3 linked regions of the Schizosaccharomyces pombe genome follow. The gene in region 1 interacts genetically with each later gene. Each region holds a gene or a part of one and is shown in the gene's direction. Other genes may lie near its edges. The genes, in order: ofd1, ubr1 and rps23.

What was found.
Region 2: of ofd1 (region 1) and ubr1, changing one enhances a phenotype caused by changing the other (phenotypic enhancement), as found in Schizosaccharomyces pombe (one study listed by BioGRID).
Region 3: of ofd1 (region 1) and rps23, changing one suppresses a phenotype caused by changing the other (phenotypic suppression), as found in Schizosaccharomyces pombe (one study listed by BioGRID).

Annotation. Positions count from the first base shown.
Region 1 is NC_003423.3:2,644,087-2,648,431, reverse strand, and holds ofd1 (2-oxoglutarate and Fe(2+) dioxygenase domain-containing protein 1), read left to right. Parts: upstream 1-1,794; 5' UTR 1,795-1,838; coding exon 1,839-3,386; 3' UTR 3,387-3,706; downstream 3,707-4,345. Other genes in the region: SAGA complex deubiquitinating submodule subunit, TREX complex subunit Sus1, read left to right, coding at 1-47, 116-362; U4/U6 x U5 tri-snRNP complex subunit Prp1, read right to left, coding at 3,722-4,345.
Region 2 is NC_003423.3:2,811,108-2,819,241, forward strand, and holds ubr1 (N-end-recognizing protein, UBR ubiquitin-protein ligase E3 Ubr1), read left to right. Parts: upstream 1-2,134; 5' UTR 2,135-2,241; coding exon 2,242-8,118; downstream 8,119-8,134. Other genes in the region: SPOM_SPBC32F12.12C (golgi membrane protein involved in vesicle-mediated transport), read right to left, coding at 1-149, 462-499, 550-620; protein mni1, read right to left, coding at 1,409-1,973, 2,022-2,047. UniProt on the Schizosaccharomyces pombe protein: Ubiquitin ligase protein which is a component of the N-end rule pathway. Recognizes and binds to proteins bearing specific N-terminal residues that are destabilizing according to the N-end rule, leading to their ubiquitination and subsequent degradation.
Region 3 is NC_003424.3:2,134,686-2,137,810, reverse strand, and holds rps23 (40S ribosomal protein uS12), read left to right. Parts: upstream 1-2,000; 5' UTR 2,001-2,022; coding exon 2,023-2,454; 3' UTR 2,455-2,486; downstream 2,487-3,125. Other genes in the region: mpp10 (U3 snoRNP-associated protein Mpp1), read right to left, coding at 1-1,666; family protein ICE2, read right to left, coding at 2,790-3,125.

The DNA of each region.
Region 1 (4,345 bases):
ACTGAGAAAATTGTTGAGCAGCTATATGAAACTGGAGATTATGAAAGGTATAAAAGATAGGCTTTCTTTTTTAAAAAAAAAATTTTATAACTAAACAACAATTTAAAAAATGTAGGCTAGCAAATGAATTAGAATACAAACTTGAATCCTGCGGTTGGACAACTCAATTACGTGACTACACTCGGGGAATTGTGAATTCCGATTCTAAAATTGATTTTCAAAAGCTATATGAGAGCGCCTTGCAGTCTGCAACTGAAAGTATTCCCGATTCGGTTAAAATGGACTTGCTCAAAGACATTAAGACCTGCGTTCTAAAGTTGGCCAATCCTCCTGAGTCAGCAAATGGAGGGAATAAAATGTAACACAAAAATAAAAAATTATTGTTTTTCTAGTTTTTTGGTGTCGAAGTGATGCACCATGCATGAGGGTACTCTTTGGTTACATTGGATCATTTGAGACTGAAACAGTGAGAGGAAAAAATAATAAGGATATTACTAACAACGATTCTATAATAAAAGGTACACAATTAAAAATTGTTGGATTCATTATGTTATGATACGGTTTCGTTCCTCATTCTATATATTTGCAAATATGCTCTTATTAGCAAGTCGAAGAATTAATAGCAATTTTCAAAATCTTGGAAGAAGAGCATTTGCACATAATTATAATTTTTAAAATTTTCTACAATATTTGATAGTGCATCATTTCGCTTTGTACAAATGTAAACAAGTTTTCATGCAGATATTAACAATTGAAGGGCCGTACAGCTTTAAATCTTTGTTATGGGATAACTGATTATAAAATATGACCAAGATATAAAAGCCATCGAGTAATCTCAGGAAATCACAATAGTTCATGAAGTATAGTATAAGTTATCCATAAAGTTGCGCGTAACGATCAGTAGCATATTATTTAAAAAAAAAAAAAAAAAAAAGGAAAAAATAGTTAAATGGATAGTTAATAATCGTACTTCTCTAATTTACTTTCTTTTCTTTTTTTACTATTTAATCAAACACTGGGATTTCTTATTGTTATTGATTTCGGCCCCCACTTGGGACAATTTTCCTTGTAAGTTATAGACTGCTTGAATTGCGTTTTGACCTTTATAATAACCCCACTTAGGGTTTATTAATATCTTGACTACTATACAACTAATAACTATAACCTTATATGGGGGTCAATAACCCAATTTGTTCAGGCAAAGTATTTAATGCAATATTTGGCCATAGACATAAGTTTTGAAATAGAAGTATAGAAACAAATTGTTCCCTTTATTGAATATTAATTTTTAAAAAGAAATGAGATTAATTTCCGAAACCTGAAATGCGAGTTGTGGTAATAAAACTAGCTACGGTTTTTTTAAGGAATAAAAAAATAGTACTTTAAATCACAAACATCTTGAATAATTCATTTATTTGATTCAAAAGCATCAAAAGAAAGTTATCTAACTAATCAGAAAATGGAAAAGAAAACAGATTACTGTTTAAGATTCAAACTCTTTTAGCCTTATTTTGGGACTATACTGTTCTTTAAGCTCGAAGCGTTACTATCCAAATATATAGCAATAGGCAGAATTACGGATAGCACGTTGTTTTAAGCAAGCGAAGAATTAACCTGCGTTCCCTATCATTAAACAAATTCACAGTTACCGAAGTCACTCCGTAATAGGAGGTCTAAGAAAGTCTTACGATAATTCAAGAATGTTACCTATGGTGAGACCCGAGTCCATAAAAATGGGTGGGATGCTTTTCATTGCTACTATTGGGAGTTTGCCAACCACTAAAATTTTTACCTAATTGCACATTATATTCAGGTGAAATCTCAAATATAAAAACGGGATGGGGGATACTCAACAACCAACAGTGCTGGATAGATTTGCGCCTCATGCATTAGATACCAGTGAGGCAGAAAGACTTTCACGGGAATATCACAAAAATGGACCGTATAATCATGTTGTGATTCGTCCTCTGATCAATGATACACTTCTTCGAAATGTTCGTAAGGAACTTATGGAAAACATACATTTTACAGAGAAAGTAACTGATATTTACCGTGTTTGGCAAACTGGTGATCTAGCAAACTTGGATGGATTAGACAAGAAAGAGCAAAACATGCTTAAGTATTTGCGTCAAGTTCGTGATGCTCTTTACTCTGAGGAATTTCGCTCTCACGTTCAAAAGATTACCGGCTGTGGCCCTTTATCGGCTAGCAAAAAAGATTTGTCTGTTAATGTTTACTCAAAAGGATGCCATTTGATGAATCATGACGATGTTATTGGTACCAGGTGCATTTCCTATATCTTATACTTGGTAGAACCTGACGAAGGTTGGAAACCCGAATATGGAGGTGCACTCCGGTTGTTTCCTACATTACAACCATCCTTTCCTGCTGCTGATTTTTGTCACTCCATTCCTCCTCAATGGAATCAACTCTCTTTCTTCCGAGTTAAGCCCGGACATTCATTCCATGATGTTGAAGAAGTTTATGTAGATAAACCTCGAATGGCTATTTCCGGCTGGTTTCATTACCCTCAGCCTGGCGAACCTGGTTATGACGCTAATTACTGCGACAATACCGTTTCTACTTTGCAGTCTTTAACAATGAAACAAATGGACTTAGAACTTCCCCGGTTTTCATACTACCCAGTTGTTAAGCCAGAACCTTTATCCAAACAGGATACTGATATTTTAAGCAATTATATTAATCCACTTTACCTGACACCTGATGGCATTGAAAAACTATCAAAACGCTTTTTTCAAGATTCTGTTATTGTTTTAGTAGAGTTTTTAAATCAGGAATTTGCAAACACTCTCCTTAAGCGAATCATCGATGCTGAAAGGCAGCCCACTCCTATGCATTCTTCCGAAGTGTCATTCCCTTGGAAAACTGCCATTCCTCCTCATAAGCACAGGTACCTATATTTAGATCATGAAGAGTTTGGCCCTGATATTATTTTGCCCATGGATTTGCAGCGCCTTCCTGCGTTTCAGCGTTGGATCCAACTTGTCAGTGGCTTACCCCTTCGTTCCTTTCATCAAGTTGGTCGACGATTCCGCCCTGGTTCCGATTTTACGCTTGCTACTACGAATGACACAGCTTTACTAGAAGCTACTCTTTGCTTATCTCCGGGGACAGGCATTGCGAATACTGACAATGGTGCATATGATATTTATATGATTGGCGATGAAGATCCTGATGTAGATGCTGCTGTGTATAGGGGTGATCAGCAAGATGACAGTATTTTGCTTTCTTTGCCAGCCGCTTGGAATGTTTTTTCTTTGGTTTATAGAGATGAAGGTGTCCTTCAATTTGTCAAATATGTGTCGCGTCAAGCCGAATCTAGTCGCTGGGATATATATTCACAATGGAATCCCGTTGCTGAGTAAAGGCAACATATACTTAAAAGGGGTTACTTAATTTTTTTTTCTCTAATTTTTTGTCTTATTTTTGAAAGTTTTTCCCTTGTGTTTTTTAAAACCCACTTTCGTGTTGATAGTGTGTATTACATAAAAAGTTTTGGTTTACACTTTTACTGCTTTCTTAACTGGTATTCTTGTTGATTTAAAGTAAGTGTTCAATCGAACCTGTTTAAAAATCGTTCTTTTTTATTAAAAAGTCCGTAAATTTACAAATATCTAAAGTAAATTCGAATACCAATTTAAACATTAATTTTAAGATAAATAATAGATCCAATATGTTACAGTCATCATTTTTGTCGTAATCATAACACATTTATGGCAAGATGTAATAGTTCCTGCGGAGTTTTCCGAGAATTTTTGATATCTTTAGTAATACTGGGCCAAAAATAACCATGATGAGGATCAGCGGTTTCAAAACTTGTAAGCACTTCTTTCTGTTGGTCTTCGTTCCCAGCCTCTAAGCTATACTTATAAAACCAACACCACACATCTCCGTTATCTTGGTCAGCCTTAACAGCTTTTAAAAACCAACTACGCGCCTTATCTGCTTTTTTTTCCAGCCACAGCATCCTGGCGATGGTGCAAAGTAAATGTGCATTGCCTTCACATTTCCTTAAAGCATCTGTAGCACGAGTTTTACGCTGTGCGCGAGGTTCAAGCCATATAGCCTCCGTCCACAGCAAACCCGAAGATGGGCATTCCTGCAAGGCCTTAGCAAGGGCTGCACGAACTTGTGAAATATTCCCCGCCCGGAGTTCCATTTTTATAAGTTCAAGCCATAAAAATTCATTCTTAGGATTTTTAACCTTAGCCCTATCAAACACAACTCTCGCGCGTATAACGGACTGCTTTTCTTCAAGTTTGGCTAGCAAAAGCCACAAAGGTATGGAATAAGGACAAACTTTTGTGCCAGCCAAGTATGCGTC
Region 2 (8,134 bases), 170 kb from region 1:
AGCCTGGAATTTGTCTGATACAGGGCAAATACGAGAAAGGAAAGGAAGCTCAATAAAAATTAATAGAACGCCCTCAATGATAGTCAAAGCTGAGAAAAGAACGACAAGGGTAACGTGAAAAAGGTTGACAATACCTAGGATAATGCAAACTGAAGGTAGTAGGTTAGCAGATCTGCCTTTTAATGTTAAATGTCAATGGACCATAATTTGTGTGCAGTGAAATGAGAAGTAATCTGATTCAATAAACTTGATTGTCTGCAAAATAAAAAAATTGAGGGACATATACATTCTCATCAAACCAAAAATACTTTTGAACACTCACTTGCTACACCTTAACTCTTTATGCTCATAAACTCTCTTCACAGCTATCAGAAAGTACAAAGCAATCAATACAAGAAGAAGAGAATATCACAAACATTAAAAAGAATAACCAAATTACGCGATTGAAATTCTTTACATACGAAAAATTGAGAGAATTCCAAGCCACTGTGCATAAATACTACAATAAGTTAGTAACATTTCGCTGTTAAAGCAACTGATTTCGCATACGAAAAATTGTAGCTTTTGAGCTCTCCCAAAAACGTTGTCTTTGCTCTGTCAACTATTATAGACTCAAACATGTTGAAAAGTGTAGTTCAGAAATCGTCTTTGTTCTGATGCTGGTTAGATGTCAGTTCATGTCAGTTTATGATGTTTAGCTCGTTGTTATTTGGCGAAGCGAAATTAGTATTTGTTATTCTTTTTAATAACAAAGTGGCACGCAGCGTCAGGGTAACCCAAGTAACAGTTCGAATATGTACTATAGTTAGCTAGGTAAACAAACAATAGCCAGTTGTAAACAATCATTTCATCCATATTTCCGAATATGTAAGCTTTTTAATAAGTTATACAATCTCTATAGTTAATACGAGACTAGAAGTACTAATGAATTTAAGTTTTCTTTAATTTAAAATCAACTGTAGCGACAAAATTTCCTTTCCAAGAATTCACATCACTATTTAAGTAATTTGTTGAAATAGTACATTCAAAAAAACCACAATTATGTTTGATAACGTTAAGCTACCATTTCTTACTGCTAACCAGCAATACAACAAAGGATTGCTTTCAAAGCATTATGCAATTATTTTTTCCCTTAATAATTACATATTATCCAAAGAGTACACATTGCAAAAGATAAAGCAGAAACATCATTGCCCATTTTCTTCTTTGTATGCTGTTCTCGCAACAAAAATCATATCACTGATGAATACAGAAGCAAATAGATGAAATTATTTCAATGATTGTTAATTAAGGACGATAAAATAGCTGCTCTCCATTTTTTTGCTTTTCATTAGCACTCCTGCTTATTTTTTGGGTTTCTTCTCAGCGGGTGTCAAATCTGTAATCATTGTGGTTCACTAGAGGACAGTTACTCTTTTTCCTTGTATCCAGTTTTTTTATCAACGGTATTTATGGATTTCTTATTTTCTCTCTTGCTCATCTTTTCTGAGTAGACACTAGGTTCACTTGTTTTAGAAAGCGGTTTCGCGCCTCTTCTCCATTCTGGAGCTTGAGTTTTAGGGAAATTATACTTAAAGTCTTTTTTAGAATCTATTGAAGAATAAGTTTTATCCAGATGTTTAACAGAATCCTTCGAGATACGCTTTTCGCCAACACTATCATAATCATGCTTTAAACTCTCCGCTTTATGATCATTCTTCTCCTTTTTCTTGTTAGAAAGTGGTCTTTCTAATTTTTCTTTTTCTAATTCTGAAATTGGAGGCCTATCGATCGATTTAGAAGTTGAAGCATCGTTACTCAATTGCAGTTTCTTCATTTGCTTCTCTAAGGAAGCGAAGTTTCCTCTTCCTGGTCTATATCTTTTGATATCTTCAGGTGCAGTATATCCTGGTTTAACAGCTCTTTCACGCCTCACGCTACCATCTTTTCGCCTGCTCTCTGGAATTATCCATTTGCCATCAACCAATCGTGCTCTAAATAAAAACTTTAGTCAACTTAATAAAAAATTTAATAAGCCATACCCTGAAAAACTTCCATTGGTTTCCATAAATTAGTATATACTCTACTAACACGCTGGAAGTTCAAGTTTGGTTTTCGAAGTACTTATACTATTCCTACCTAAGAATTACTTTTCACAACAACACAGTCCTGTCATTACGGTATTTACACTAAAAGGACTTTCTCGTTCTATATGTTATTCTTTATTTTATCTATTTAAAAAGTTATTATTTGTAGCATGCCATGTTACAAGACGAGTCTAGCAGATCGTTGCCTAGAAGCGCATTGATTCGGAGACGGCTTTCATTATTTTTACAGTCTCATGCATTGATGTATTCATTTCTATGGTCAGAATCTGCTAAAAAATCCCTTCTGAATGAAGTCTTTTCTGCGCTTCTCGGATATGACCATACCTTGTGGAATACATTGCTTCCAGAGAGACCAACCATCGATGCCTCCTTTCTTCTCCGTCGTGCTCAAGGACACAGTGAGGGAGATGAGTATCGTCATGGAACCTGTGAGTCAAAATGTGGCCATATATTTCGAAAGGGTGAAGTATTCTATCGATGCAAAACGTGTAGTGTTGATAGCAATTCAGCGCTGTGCGTGAAATGTTTTCGTGCAACTAGTCATAAGGATCATGAAACTTCGTTTACAGTTAGTGCCGGTAGCGGCGGTTGTTGTGATTGTGGTAATGCAGCTGCATGGATTGGGGATGTGAGTTGCAAAATACATTCACATGAAGAAGATGCTACGATTAGCAACGATATGATAGACGAAATTCCGGAAAAATTAGAAAACAGTATCCAAACAACAATTGATTGTGTTCTTGACTTCGTACTGGATGTTTTTTCCTGTAGTCCTGAAAATCTCAAAAAAATGCCCACCTTGGAATCGATTTTGCAGGATGAGAAAACTTCGCGTCTCAGTGAAAATAAATACGGCGATATTGATGATTCTTGCAATATGTATTCGTTAGTACTGTGGAATGATGAAAAACACTCCTTCAAGCAATTTTATGAACAAATTACTACTGCATTAGAATTGCCGAATAACGTTTTTGGAAAGAAAATGGCAAATATTATTAATGACATCGGTAGAGCTTGCATCGTTACTGAGACTAATATAAAAGAGCTTCTTAAAATTGGTCAAAAGCTTGCCCAGATCAATCTAGCTGTTTCAATTCGTTCTATGCGTGACATTTTTAGAGAAGAATCTTGTGCTGTTTTACTAGAATGGCTTGCTGATATAGCAGGAAGCAGTATTTGTGGGAAAAGAAATTATTTTAGCTCTGTTATATGCAAAGAACTTGTTCGACCTTGGAATTGCGGACTTCATAATTCTGATCTTACTTTTAGGCTCTCCCTTAGAAGTCTTGCTCTTCCTGAAATTGTGGCCATTGACAGTCCTGATATATTTTTGAATGAAGATCACATTAACTCGTCAGGTCCATCTGACACTTCTAGTCATATGCTAGAAACTGACGAGTCTTCTATTCATTCTAGACATTGGTATCCTTCTAATTCTCTTCCGGATGTCCTTTCGTATGCCTCCAGAGTAAGATTTGATTATTTTTTTCTTTACGATTTAAAACTTTGGAAGAGCTTGCGTTACAAATTACAGGAGTTGTACTTGGGATACTTTATCACTCAGCCTGGATTTAAGGAAATTATGGGAGCCAGGATTGCCATTTCTTATAGAAGGTTGGCAGAACTTTTTCTTCTGTTGGACCGTGAACCTGAACACTCAGTCATTTTTTTTTCAATGCAAATATTTACCGTGGCAGACGTTGCCAAACTGTTGGTTACAGAGTATGATTTCTTGACTACAATTAATGCAACTTTGTACACTTTTTTCACCTATAAAAAACTTAATACGCCGAACTATGTCGATCAGCATGCCATGATAAGAACAGATTCGGCTGCCTTTCATTCACGTAGGTATATTCACATTTTCCATCACATTCAATTTATGTTAAGCATTCCATGTGTTGCTGAAATTGTTCGTGAAGACCTTAAATTTTTGAAGCAATATGCCGATTTTTTTAACCTGTTTCAAGGTATGTGCCCCTATACACGAGCAGTATCGCAGCATGTTGAATGGGAAAATGATTCATGGATGTACGTTTTGAACGTTAGTTTACAAGTTGCTAAACTCTGTAGACATGTTGGAAATGTCTTTATGGAGCTCAACACGAATAAATTAGCCAATGCTATAAACTACCTAATTTCCCTAATTCTTTATCCTAAGGCAAGAAATGAGTCTTGGACCAATACTGAATCATTGACTACAGGAATTACTGTTGATGAAAGAGGTAATTCGAAATTAATAGAGTATGATATTGCTCTTCAACCGGTATCGTTCCATCATCCTTTACACTGGTTGCTAGTGTACCTTTTATCATTTTACGTTGAACGAGACAACTATAAATTACTATGGACTCAGCTAGATTTACTTGCGGTTACGGATCACCCACTTCGTGTATGCGCTTGGTTAAGTCAAATGCGCGCAAAGCTTTGGATAAGGAATGGTACAACGTTACGTGATCAAGCTCACCATTATAGAAATCTAAGTTTTCATGAATACACTTTTGATTTAGACGTTTTGTTGCTTCAATTAACTTTAACATATGGCGATCCTGATGCTATCTTACCTTCTTTTATTTCTCGATTTCAATTAGAAGATCAAATGTATGGTCGGTTTTTTGTACCTCATAAACATTATGATGTATCCCAAGTCACGATAATGATGGAGGAGTTTTTGCTGCTTTTAATATCCATTGTATGTAATACTGCTGTCCTCGACCATTGGGATATTACAAGACGAATAGAATATGGAATCGCTCATATCCTTTGTTTTCGTCCTTTACCTTATTCCGAGATTACCAAAAGGACATGTGAGCATTTATTGGAGCACAAGCAATTTGAAAGCACTCTCAAGAAAGTCGCTACTTTTCGGAATGCCGAGGGGATCAATGATAGTGGTTCCTTCACGTTAAAAGATGAATACTTTGATTATGTAGATCCATTCAATATTCATTACTCTAGAAATCAACGTGAGGAAGCAGAGAATATTTTACGTAGACGGTATTCAAAACAGCATTCCAAACATTTGGAATCTGTAGTATATGAGGAATATCATCCGATATTGCATTCGAACATTACAATTCCCATATTACAAAGCGATTCTTTTGTTGGGATTTTATGGCACACTATCGTCTACGCTTATATTTATCCATACGATCAAGGAAAACTAGAAGGCTTGGTTAATACTGCATTACATGCATGTCTCCTAGTTTTAATGAGTGAAAAAGGATCTGAACCTATTTTTTCCAAAAAAATATGTGAGAATCGATTTCCAGTTGTCGAGGGATTACAGGAATATTGCAACTCTCCGGATGTTACGTTGTTCAGTGTTTTGTGTCAAATGAAAAACCACAGAAACTTTGTGTATGTCAAAGAAAAGATTTCTTTGATAATGAAAATCTTAAAAAGTGAAGTTCCGTTATTGTATGAACCTGTATATGCCGAAACTTTGAGTATATCCTCTTCGAAAATAGTTCAGTCGTTATCGGATGCCGAACAGCAGGAACAACATTTAGCTAAGGTGCGCATGGCAAAGGAACGACAGGCACGGATAATGGAACAGTTCCGAATGCAGCAAAATAAGTTTTTAGAAAATCATGCTCTTTTTGAAGCATCGGACTGTGAAATGGACGAAGCGGATGAATTTTCTGTAACCAGTTCAGTTAGCACTAAGTTATTCTTGGACCCACCTATTGATACTTGTCTTCTATGTCAGGAAGAACTGAAAGATAAGCGCCCCTATGGTACTTTGGTATTTGTTCTTAGGAGCTCGGTACTCAGACTATTTCCTGCTGATGATGCCAACTACGTTTCTGAAGTGTTGGATATTCCTGACAGCTTGGATCATGAGATTCAAGAAAGACCTTTTGGATTGGCTGGCAAACGAAAAAAGGTATTAGATTCTACAGAAGCTTACGATTATGATAATTACTATTATGAAAAAAAGGGCAATGAACTCCATCAGTTAAAGGACTCTTTTAATGGATTTCCCCCTGATCAGCTGGATCGTGGATTGCATGCCACTGGATGTGGTCATTTCATGCATATCGATTGTTTTAAAAATCATATTGCTACTGTCACACTTGCAACTCGAGCCAATCCTTACAGAAATCACCCTCATAATTTAAGCATGAAAGAATTCCTTTGCCCTCTATGCAAAGCATTATGTAATACTATTTTTCCAATCTTATGGCGGCCTAAGGAAGAGATTAATTTTCAAGAAGCTGGAGTACTTACCGCTCCTTTGAAAAATTGGCTGGTTTCTAAAACATTTTCATTTAATAAAGACTTAAATCAGCAACTTCTTGACATAGAAACCTCCCCTTCTGAGCACACACAGTCGTACAATTTAAATCTGCTTGATGTATTACAACACACCTTACGAGACTCGTTGAAAGATATATATACCCTCAATACTGGTGCTGATAATTCCAGTGATAACGTTGAAGAAAATGCGGATAACTTATTCCAATCGAGCGTATTGGATCATGTCCATTTTAAGAGTGTTGTAAATAATGAAGTTCCTGCCGATGAACGTCTCGCTATTTCAGATGATATATTTGAGCTTTATCGGAGGCTTGACGATGTAATAGATCTTAATTCTTCTTTATACTCCGATGATTTTATTCCAGTGAACGGTAAATTGCATAATGTTGTTAAACTCTTTTCATACAGCCTTTGCCAAGTTGAAGCATCTACTAGAGGACACATAAAATGTTCAAGTATTCCAGCGGATATTTGGGTGCATAATCTTGGAAAAAATCAGCAAGTTTTTTTAAGGATTTTATCTGAATCTATCAAAACTTATACTTTGTTATGTGCACATGATTCACAGAAGCGTATTGGGGGTTCAATTCAAGAGTTTGAATTTATTAGTTTCTGCCAACAAAAAAGGATATTTGGGCGACTATTGCCCTCTCTAGATTCACCGGTTACCAAATCTATTACTGATGATAGAGTTGAGCCGTTACTTGTGAAGGATACATTTCGAGAATTCGCCGAAGCCAGTGTCTCTGGTTTATTATCATGTGACGAATCGTTTCACTACTTGACGCAATTATACTATACTGCCGATATAGTTCGAAACTTATGGATTCTTTTGTCACAAAGAAACTCTTTACTGAAATGTATGGAATCAGTTGAATTTGAAGCCTTTGACTATGAGCAGCTAAAGGGGTTTGAGCACTTAGTTATCCAAATTTGGAAAAGTCTTCGTGTCGACGGAGCAGGATTAATCAATTTTGATTGTTGTACGGAGGATGATCTAAATAATCCTCATCTTTTGTTTACACTGTATAAACTATTGGAAAGGTTTTCTCTAATCTTCCTTCGAAAATGTGCTTTGCTTTGGTATTGCCGCTATGGAGTTTCATTTGAGACGCAACCGAATTTAAACTTTCAAAATTCAGAATTATCACGTTTACAAACAAAAATGCATATTCCAGGTGTTATTGAATTATCTAATCATCTTTGTCTTACGGCATCTTCCACAGAATGGAGCCTTATAAAGCACTGGTGTAATTTCTTTACAGAGACTGGTCCTCTATGCGATTTTCCTCGCGCTTATTACCCTGGAATTTATGAACTAGTTTCTTTACCGTATGAATTGGATAAAGTCTTTGAGTTACTATTGGCCAGGCGATGCTCGAAATGTTTAACTGAACCTATGGAACCAGCGATATGTTTATTTTGTGGGAAGCTCTTATGCTTCCAAAGTCATTGTTGTTCCTTTAATGGTATTGGAGAATGTAATCTTCATATGCAACAATGCGCTTCTGACATTGGAATTTTTCTTATTGTCAAAAAATGCGCTATTCTCTACCTCAATCCACCTGTAGGAAGCTTCTCTGTAGCTCCATTTTTGGATGCGTATGGAGAGACAGATTTGGGATTGCGTCGTGGCCGCTCTCAATATCTATCACAAAAACGTTATGATGAAACAGTACGAACGATGTGGCTAAACGGATCTATTCCTTCTTATATTGCTCGACAACTGGATGCGAATCCAGACACCGGAGGTTGGGAAACACTTTAGGCTAAACAATGGGAGT
Region 3 (3,125 bases), on another chromosome or scaffold:
TACCGGAATTCCTTCTTTTCTCAGCCATTTGCTTACGTTTCTCAGCATGTTTTCTACGCACCCGCCTGCGGCGTGCTTGCTTTTGTTGGTGGTCCATTTCAGTCGATGAAATGGCGATACCTGACCGAGTAATAGTTTCACCTTCACGATTCTCATTAGACGGTTTATAAACTTCTTGAGGAGCCAATGCCATAGTGTCAGAGGCAGCAGTTGGCTGAACGTCCTCCATTGCTAAAGTGGGTGCATTAGAAACAATTTCAACAGTAGACTCAGGAGGAGGGGGAACATAATGCCAAGAAGCAAGAGAATCTAAAGTGCGGCTGACTTCCGAAAACAATGCCTTGATTTCTTCATGTTCTTTTTCTTTCTTTTTATCAGCTTCACTCTTATATGTGTCGGCGTTGCTCTTTTTAAGGAATTCTTCTTCATATTCTTCTGCTAAAGAACGCTGAGACTTATTTTCGTTTAACTCGAATAATTCGCTTGGTCGAAATTCAGTAACAGCAACTGGCGCGCGTTTAGGTACATCATCAAATGTTTTGGAAATAATTCGGTTTTTAATTAAATCTTCTAATGTCTCAGTAGTCTCTTCCGTTTGTACAGGGACAGGTTTAGCACCAGTTTCAAATTCCAAATCAACGTCTAACAGTGAATTAGAAGGTCGTCCTTTAGACGTTGCCTCCCCCATCATGGTCCAGGACTTCTTGGCAACGTTTTCAGCCTCGAGCTCACGAATTTGCTGAGTCAAACGGGCTTTATCGCGCTCATAAGAAGATAATTGATCAGCTGAAACATCGTCTTCTTCGTCACTAGCAAATAAATCTTTCTTCACTCGATCAAAGGTAGCATACTCATTGTCAGAGCTCTCATTATTTTCTTCAATAACATTTTGTTGCACATCATTTTTGAAATCCGGTTTACTTGTTCTTTTTCTTTTGGATTCGGCCTTTTTCTTTTTTAGTTCACGGCGACCGGCCGCTGTTTTTGGACCAAAAAAATCTTCGTACATAATGGAGTCAGCCTGAGGACCATTTGATTCATCTTCAGAGTCTTCCATATTCTCATCGGGATCCATTAACAAGTCAATACCGTCATCTTCATCGCCGAGGACACCCTCTTCGACTGCTTCCTCTTCTAAAGCTAAGGTTTGCTTGTTAAAATTATCAATATCAAAAAAACCATCATTAAGTCCAAATGCGTCTTTTTTCTGTTCGATTTGTTGTCCTTCTTCATTCATAATTTCAGCTTCATCTCCTGAAACATCTTCGGCAGAACTTTCGTCGACATCTTCTAGATTTTCTGGACCAGAGAACCCTAAAAATTCATCATCAGCATCATCCCGATTGTTCATTTCACTATTGTCAGAGAGTTCCTGATGACTTGTTTCATCATCCTCATCCTGGAAAGAAGTAATGCTATCTTCTTCTTCGTCTTCGTTTTCAACATCAACTTGAGGGAGATCATCTAATGCATACTTGGCAGCTAATGCTAGTTGGTTATATATTTGCCAATTATCTAATCCTTTTGTGACAATTGTTTGGATGGGACTTGTAGATGGGATTTTTATATTTGAGAAAACCTCAATAGCTTTTTCAACCAATTGCTTTGAATCCTCTTTATTCGGGAACAAAAAGAGTGTTGGCTCGGAATTTATAAGTTCAGTCATATCAAATCTTTTTTTTTTTTTAAATCTCACAAAACTTTGACTAAATATCTTGGAAGTATTCCAAGTACGAAACAAATAAATACCAATTGAGCTTAAATATTACACACCAAACCTTTTGCAAAGTACTTGCAACTCCTTTTTCCAAAATAATCAAAAAGACGTATGTTTTTTGTTTTAGATGTTTTTTCTTTTTTGTAATGTAGTAAAATTTTAGTAAGTATGGGCATCAACAATTTACTTAGTGAAGCGTTGCGTACTATATTATATAAGAAGGGTAGGGTTTGTGACTGTTTTGGACATAAAGCTAAGTTCACCTAAATCCAACACACAGTTCGCCGCAACCTCTATACTACAAAATGGGAAAACCCGCAGGATTGAACGCCGCTCGTAAGCTTCGCAATCATCGCCGTGAGGAGCGTTGGGCCGATGCTCATTACAAGAAGCGCTTATTGGGAACCGCTTACAAGTCATCACCTTTCGGTGGATCGTCTCATGCTAAGGGTATCGTTGTCGAAAAGATTGGTGTAGAAGCTAAGCAACCTAACTCTGCTATTCGTAAATGTGTTCGTGTTCAGTTGATCAAGAATGGTAAGAAAGTTACCGCTTTCGTTCCCCACGATGGTTGTCTCAACTTCGTTGATGAAAACGACGAAGTTCTTCTTTCTGGTTTCGGTCGTAAGGGCAAGGCTAAGGGTGATATTCCCGGTGTCCGTTTCAAGGTCGTCAAGGTTGCCGGTGTTGGTCTTTCTGCTCTTTTCCATGAGAAGAAGGAAAAGCCTAGAGCTTAAACGAACTTAATAAAAAGTTGTTTGTCTCATTACTGCGTCGTAAAATGATATTAGTTTTAGTAGTCTAAGTAGTTTTTCCGTAGTAAATTAGAATCATGTGACAGGGGATATACTTCTGTCTTTTATGGGTCTAACTTACATATACTTGGGACAAATACCTCTTAGTGACTTCCTAGTATATTCAGGGATGTAACCAGAAATTCTAAACTTGTAAACTAAGCCGTTTATATTCAATTATCAAGTAATGAAAAATTAACAGTGTAGACTAGAATTAGATGTAAAAAATGAAAGGAGAAACGAGTGAATTAAATAACCTTAGGAAAATCAATTGCAGATTAGTCAAGTTTGAAATGGCTAGCAAGAGCCTGGCCTGTGTCAGACTCTTTGCTATAAGCTAGTTCAATGGCGTATAAGAGGAGAGTTAAAATAGCACTTACCCAACGCCAAATTTCAGCGGAACACAATATTTGATTCACTGGAGAAGTGAAAGAGGGTGTTGGGTATAAGTGCTGTAATAGAAGGTTTGTATAGACTGCAATAAGTATACATGGAGAAAGAATACTCCACATACCCTGTTTAGAAGTTCGACTGTACTCGAGAAAGATGATGTTATTTTGTATTGCAGGTAAAATTCTTGTTACGGCATACATAACTGATATGCGAAAAGCAAA